Linked DNA regions of Caenorhabditis elegans. The protein of the gene in region 2 purifies or fractionates together with the protein of the main gene of each other region. This does not show direct contact. Each region holds a gene or a part of one and is shown on either strand. Other genes may lie near its edges. The genes, in order: dbd-2 and wrt-2.

Region 1 (2,918 bases), on a different chromosome or scaffold from region 2:
CTTTCCGTTTTAAGTGCACGCGATTACCTATGTAGGCGCATGTGAAGCCTTATTGTACTACAGTGTGAGCCGCCCCGACAAACACTCGACTCAACAGCTTTTTCCTTCAAATTGTCAAAACAAAACAATACGAGAAAGAAGGCGAGACGTGAAACTTGGGAAAGTTATGTTGTTAGTTGCTGTAGCTTGGGTAAAGTAGTGATTGAGTACTGTATGATTACTGTAGTTTTGGAAAATGGGGGAATTTTGTAGGACATTGCGGAAACATGGAACTAGGTCCTAAATCCGGGCTTTCTACCGGAAATTTTGAGTTTGAAATTTCATAAACTATATTTTCTATTTCACCTGGAAAACTGGGCCCTGTAACGACAATTATGTCTGAGATCGTGGCGAGACCCACTTGGAAAAACATCATGTGCCTTTGAACTGGCAATTCCAGAACTCCGGACAAGCCAATCAAAAGACAAAATAGCTTGGAAAACTGTTAACTTTATCATCAAGTTGATCTTTATTCCATATTATTAAATACACGTTTCATAATATAAAGAAAATTTCAATTATTATATTTCCATTTAGAGCTTCTTGAATGGCTCGTTCTTGTCCAAATGGTTGTAGAAGCAATCACGGATCTCGTTGAAGTTCTCGGTACAGAAAGCATAGTCCAAATAGTTGGATGGAGCTCCCTTATGAGCGGTACAGTACTTGAGGCATTCTCCAGAGACACCGGCCTTCTTGCAGCAGTCCTCGTGGTTGTGACGGAGGGAAGCACAATCCCACATTTCTCCGACAGTTGGTCCACGCTCTCCGCAAGTCGACATGAAGTTCAGAATCTGAAATAAGAACGTGTAATGGTTATTTCTAGTAAGCTGACTAAATACATCAGAATTGACGCGCAACTAGCTCTCAGGAGACAACTTACGTTAGCTTGAGAAAGAGCATTGAAGTCACAGAATCGATCGACGCACTCCTTATCGGCATCCTTCAACGTGGCACAGCATAGCTTCAGCTTCTCATTTGGAGTAGCAGCAAGAGCAAGAAGTGGGAGAGCCAGGAGAATTGCGAAGCGGTTCATTCTAGAATTAATTACTATGAATATAGATATGTTAACTTTGAAAAATAAAAGAAAACTGCAACAGGTGGAAGATCGAAGAAATGAAGAATACACAGCCTATCGGTGTCAAGGCCCGGACTATTTAAAGGGTCACCCGGAAGACTCCACCTCTGACATATTGAGGTCAGGCTGTGATAATAAAAGAGATAAGATATCACTCCCTATCATAACAATCCTATTTCCTAGAACACCAGTCACCATTGTACTTTTATCGGATTTTTTGAGGCCGGTCAATGTTGCGAAAGATGAATTGCATGTAATAATGTATAGACTCTGTTATAAGAAGAAACATATAGAAAATATATATTTATTTTCTAGAAGAGATAGTTGGTGATAAAGTGAGAAAGAGGACACACACAGCCGTTTAATGGATTATTGCAGGTCAGGTCAGAAAGAGAAAAGTGGTTGGTACGAGAATTAGTTGTCATTGAAAAAGAGGTGATTAGTCATTTTTGAATCCATTTGCAATCAGAAGAGATAATGAAATGGCGACACCGAAGCAGATTCCAACAACGGCGAACATCCATGAGATTTGGATAAGTTGAAGACGCTCCGGTTTTTTGGAATTTTTTTCGGATTTTTCGATCTGTAAGTTGTGTCTTTTGTGGAACATTTTTTTGTGTTACAAATGTTGAATTGAAAAATTTGTGACGTTAAAGTTAGTCTTAATTTTTGTAGAATTTTTTGCTTGAAAATTTTAATAAAACATGTTCTTTTTACCTTAAAAATTCTAGTTTTTTTTCTCAAATTTGATGCAAAAAATTGCAATTCAGGTGCTTTGAACATTCAACAAAATTCTGAAAATTAAGAAAAAAATTCTCAAAAAATATTCAAACTTCTTGTGCGCGGGAATTCAAGTTTAAAACATTTTTAAACTCATTTTTCTCACTGTTTACCGAAACTATTAGTTTTACAAATGAGATATTATGTTTTGGATCACTAACTTTTTTAGAAACTTTTCCCCCTTTTCCACACTTCTTTAATACTAAATTATCAATTTTTGTTGCCAATAATTGAAATAAAAATAAATTAATCATTTAATCTCCAGTGATTTGGCCTATATTGCCCGTAGGAGTAAACTACATACGGACTGCTGGTTCATGTGATTCGCAACATGATATGGTATGATCTTCGTAGAAATGTTCTTATTGCATAGGATATTCCAACTTTAGAACTTTAAATGCAAATTGAAAAATCTTACCATTTCAACTTCCCTATACCCATTTCTCTGCTCGCTTTCCAAATACAAAACTACGAATCCTGTGGCGATACACAAAATGGTCGGCACACTGGTCAGCACAATTTCCATTGTTGGCTCTGACCATGTCTTTCGATAATTGGCGGCAGCCACGTAGATTGCGGCCACTTAATTTGTATAAAAAGTTTGAATTCTAGTCATGGAAACTTACCAGCAAAAGTGTAGGAGAGAAGGCCAACAATTCGATGAGCCCAATTAAAAATTGAACGTTGTGAGTTGGAAGGTGGGCATCTGGAATAAATAAAAAGTATAAAATTTTGCTATTTTTTTACAAAAATAAATCTACCTCAACAAACTATTCAACGGCTGGGAGAATGCCAGAATAGTAGAAATCGTTCCAAAATCCGTGTGCCATTGTGTCCAGTACCATGCTTCAGATCCAGTACCTTTCCAGGTCCAATTTGTTGAAATTAAAATGCACAAAATCGAGGTTACAATACAACAAACACCAATAAAAGTTGAGGCTCGATGAATTTGAAACCATACGAACATTCCGTAAATTGTATGATTTTTGAACACTTGCCGTCCATATCTTGCAAATAAAAATCC
Region 2 (4,706 bases):
TTGGTTGACGTTCCCGGTTTCTTGCCAGGTAAATTTTCCCGATTGAAAGTATTTCAAATATTAAATCAAATATCTTTTCAGGAACTGCCCAAGAGTACGGAGGTATCATCCGTCACGGAGCCAAACTTCTCTACGCTTTTGCCGAGGCCACCGTTCCAAAGATTACCATCATTACTCGCAAAGCCTTCGGAGGAGCTTACGATGTCATGTCATCAAAGCATCTTCGTGGAGACATCAACTACGCCTGGCCAACTGCTGAGGTTGCTGTGATGGGAGCCAAGGGTGCAGTCTCCATTCTTTTCCGTAATGATAAGGAGCACGCCGTTCAACACGAGGAGGAATACACTGAGCTGTTCAGCAACCCGTTCCCAGCCGCTGTCAGAGGATTCGTCGACGACATTATCATTCCATCAGAGACCAGAAAGAAGGTGTGCGAGGATTTGAACATGCTTGAAAGCAAGAAGTTGAAGAACCCATGGAAGAAGCACGGAAACATTCCACTCTAAATTTCCAGCACTACCCACTCCGCCTTAATCCATACTATTATGTTGCCATTTCACCGGCCTGCTCGGTATTTGACGTGTTTACTTGTGAATTTTCATCCCACATACAAAATGCGCCATTTGCGTATTCCAATTGTTCGAGTATTATTTCCTTTTTCCGTTTTTTTGTTTTGTAAAGTCATAATTGAAAATTGTATTTATTACTGTTCTCAGATAAATAGTAGATTTTTGTGTTATTAGTACGAGCTTTCGAAATGGGACAAATGAAATCATATGTGATAATTGAGGCTAGCTAGTTGGCGCTTTTAGAGGACTCCGAAAAATTTGGCAACACTGGTTAGAATGGCACGCTGGACTGGTGGGATGACCTGCTCAACATCTTCTACGCTTGGAATTTGAAGCTTTGGAAGATCCTCAAGTTTTGGGAGGGTCATTGGTGGAAGTGTAGATGTCATTTGAACCGGCATTTGTGGAAGAGCACCAATTGGCATTTGTGGAACTCCTGCTGCTGCTGCTACTCCTGGCTGAGCGACAACTTGTGGAGCTTGGAACATCATTGGTTGTGGGAACTGTGGGAGTGGGGCAAATCCAAGTTGTTGCTGTGGCTGAGCTGGTTGCTGCTGTTGCTGTGGTTGTGCTTGTTGTTGCTGCTGCTGCTGCTGCATCTGTTGTTGTTGCTGCTGCTGGTTAGCATAAACTGGAAAATGGGATATATCTCATTGTGATTCTGAAATTAGGCGATGCTAACCTTGTTGCTGGAATGCTTGGTGCTGTTGTTGAAGCATTGCGGCAAATGGGTCTTGGTAGTATTGTGGCTGAGGTTGCTGTTGAGCATATTGTGGATATCCAGAATCTAAAACATGCAATCTATATTAACCATAATTGATTGTTCTATACTCACATTGTCCATTTTGTGCGACTCCGTACGCTTGTTGAGAAAATTGTCCGTAGTTTGTGGCTGGATTCACAACTCCCGGGTAAGCGACTTGAGCTGGCTGTTGGACTTGTTGTTGTTGTGGAGCATATGGTTGAATGTTAAGTGGAGCTCCCTGTTGTGGAACTGTGACTGATGGTTGGTGAGTGACAACAGAAGAAGCTGTTGGGGTGGTTGCTGGTTGTTCAACAACGGCGGCGGCCTCGACGATTGTGTTCTGAAATTACTCCAAATAAATAGTGTATCATCCAAATTAATCGGAAATATTTGAGCATTTGCCTGAAAAGTTCTCACTTCTCGTTTCTTGTTCTCCACAGCTTGCTCTTCGTCGAAGCATGGCATTCGCTTGATAGAAGCAACGTAAACAACGCTTAAATTGAATTAAATTGGTCTTAGTTTCGAGAGGGAATAAAACTCACGTTCCATTTTCGGAAACACTCTTGCTCAAATTCGAGATGTAATCAAAAGCAACAAGTCTAGAACCATCCAAAACCTCTCCTCCAACTACCAATTGTCCTTGCTTAACAATAGCGTTTCCGCGATCCTCTGCGCTGATAAGAACTTGATAACTGCAGCATTTCATCTAAACGATGTTTGGAAGATTAATTAAATTGTCATTTCACTTTTCATTTTCAACATACCTCCAGTTGGTCAGCGAATGGATCCGATTGTGGTGAAAGCCCTCCAACCCACTCTCCCTCCTCGCATGTTTTTGATTTGTATTCATCAGTGCAAATCTGAAACAAAGTACACCGTTTTTTTTTGCAAATACATATAAATGACAAACCGCAAGTTGTGGAACAAAGTTTGGATTTTTGCTTGGGCTCTTGATGAATTGATCGGATCTTCTGAGGTATCCATCATCCTTTCCAGCAACTCTATAGAATTGAGCAGTTTCTCCAGCTCTTGTTCCATTTGCAGTCCATCCGAAGCATTTTGGTCTTGCACACCCAAGAACAGGGTAGCCAGATCTTAGTACCTAAAGTGAACATTTAGTATATGTACAGTTACAAATCATGGGCTTTATTAGTTTTCTGTTCTTTAAAAATCAAGGAGTTGCTCACTTGGAAAGTGTATGGAATAGCTGATTGTCCACAGTAGGAGGCAAGGGCCACTGGCACTAAAGCCAAAAGGAATATGATCGGCGTATGCATCCGAGAAACAATTGGCAGGTTGATTGTCAATGAGAAGCGATTTGAACTACAATGAAAAGCTGGGCGTGGAAGGGACAATGGCCGTCTCGACAACGACAAGAAAATAAGGTCATCAAAATGTCTTTTTGCTGCTTTTCCTCTATATCTCCCGTATTGTTACGCGCGCGCGGATCGGTTGTCCCTCCTTCTCCTCTCCAGATTCCTCGAGATAAGGCAAGTGAAAGTCAGATCTACAACACCGGGAGTGAAGCCGTAGGGGGGGGGGGGGGGGGGCCCAAAAGGCATATTCTCGTATCGGTTTCTATCAGTGCAACACTTTCACTTGCCGTATGTTTGTCACCAATAATCCGGATCGCGAATCAGTTTTTTCGGTGGCTACCCAATTTTCATCAAGCTATTGTTTTATTCAAGAAAAATGGAATCGGTGTGGATCTAGCCATGCGGTTAACGGAAGACGATTTATGACCGGCTATTCCACGCGTATGTGGAGCTAGATTTGTAGCTTGTTTGAAATTCCTACACTATTCGAACAAGTTATGTTCATTTTACTTTACAGAGTCTGATAAGAATTGAAAACCAAGAATAAATAAACATCCCCCCTCCCCTAATTTTACTTTTTCTACGTTACCATGTTTAGTGGTTAGATCGGTTTATAATTCTCTTATAAACCTTCACAGTTACCTCTTAAAATGTTAAATTTTGTTCTGAAGTTTTCCAAAATAGATTGCGGCCTATCAATTTTACCTTTAAATCGAGTGATGAAAAAAAATGCGCTGTTAAAACAATTCTTACATGAAATAGTTTTAAATAAGATATAAGTACAGGGTGGTCCATAATTATGGACCACCCTGTATAAATGAGTCAAAAAATGTATATAAGAGTAAAATGTAAAACATAAAGTGAGATATAAACGGAATAACATTATAGAAGTTGTTTTTATTAGATTTAAATCGTGTTACACCCCTTTTTTATTAAAAGTTGCCAAAGTGTGTTCTTCAGAAAACACACCATTTGCATGTCAGATTCTTAAGTTGACCAGTTCAATGCAAACATTCAGTCAAAATTTCTACAAATGTGTAACCAAGAAGTCAGTTCCGTGAAATTTTTGTGAGCATTTGAAAATACGTGAAATAAAAGTCACCAAGCAAGACATTTATTTTTCAAAAAAGCAAGCATTACTACTATTTTCGAATGGGGAACACCCGTAAATTTATATTACAGACATCAGTAATGTAACGAAGTTCACCTATTACAGAATAGATAAATAAATATATTACAAAGCATGGTTCAGTAAGTATTAGAGTTCTGATAAATTAAAACTAAATTTTAAATGAATTAAAACAACAAAATTCAATAAAATTATTCGTCGTAATATTAGTGTTGTTGAGCAATTTCTGAGAAGAACTGAAGTACAGTGTCAGTGGAAACTTCGAGCTCAATCTTCGAGCCTGGGTAACAAGTGAGAATCAGTTTGTTGTATTCCGCAATTTGCTTGACAAATTGCTCTTGCATATCTCTCCATACAACTTGCAAAAGTGATGAATTGGCAACCAGGTTCTTCTCAATTTTCTTGTACAGTTGCTCGAGTCCTTTTTTCACTTCTTTTCCCGGATGTTGTGAAATTACCTGGAAAATTTATGAAATGGCGATTTTGATGATTAACTAGAAATTCAACCTTTTTAAGCTCAATGCGACTGAATTGTTGTTGATACGAGATTTCATCAGGACGAATTCCACGCGTTTCGATAAAGTTGTTGACATTGTCGAAGAACGTCTGAAATTTTTGGAATACATATCGATAGTTTTGGGAGATTTTTGTTTAAAGGTGGAGTACCGAAATTCGAATGAGATGTTTTGAAAATTCCTCAAAAAAAGTTATGGAGGTTCAAAGTCGGAAAAAAGGTTTTGCAGCTAAAATCACAATTTTTACAACTTCTCGGTGTCGCAGCGTCTGGAACTTAATTTTTATTTATTGATCACTCTTTAATAAATTTGTTGGTCTTTTATTGGGCGTATATGCGCTGAATTGTTGGGTCTAAAATAGCAAAGCCTCAAATTTTGGTACTCCAACTTTAAACTATGGTAGAGTGCCTTTTTTTACAAATGTTGTAGAAT

What was found.
Region 1: the proteins of wrt-2 (region 2) and dbd-2 fractionate together in Caenorhabditis elegans (co-fractionation; one large-scale study listed by BioGRID). This does not show direct contact.

The regions. Positions count from the first base shown.
Region 1 is NC_003280.10:4,561,105-4,564,022, reverse strand, and holds dbd-2 (DB domain-containing protein), read right to left. Parts: upstream 1,074-2,918; 5' UTR 1,073-1,073; coding exon 920-1,072; intron 831-919; coding exon 573-830; 3' UTR 563-572; downstream 1-562. Other genes in the region: M03A1.8 (ascorbate ferrireductase (transmembrane)), read right to left, coding at 1,554-1,697, 2,313-2,476, 2,521-2,600, 2,656-2,918.
Region 2 is NC_003284.9:3,091,706-3,096,411, forward strand, and holds wrt-2 (WaRThog (hedgehog-like family)), read right to left. Parts: upstream 2,645-4,706; 5' UTR 2,592-2,644; coding exon 2,502-2,591; intron 2,417-2,501; coding exon 2,225-2,416; intron 2,175-2,224; coding exon 2,079-2,174; intron 2,021-2,078; coding exon 1,857-2,020; intron 1,808-1,856; coding exon 1,732-1,807; intron 1,655-1,731; coding exon 1,405-1,654; intron 1,357-1,404; coding exon 1,252-1,356; intron 1,201-1,251; coding exon 809-1,200; 3' UTR 690-808; downstream 1-689. Other genes in the region: pccb-1 (Propionyl-CoA carboxylase beta chain, mitochondrial), read left to right, coding at 1-28, 82-506; sec-3 (Exocyst complex component 1), read right to left, coding at 3,966-4,217, 4,267-4,365.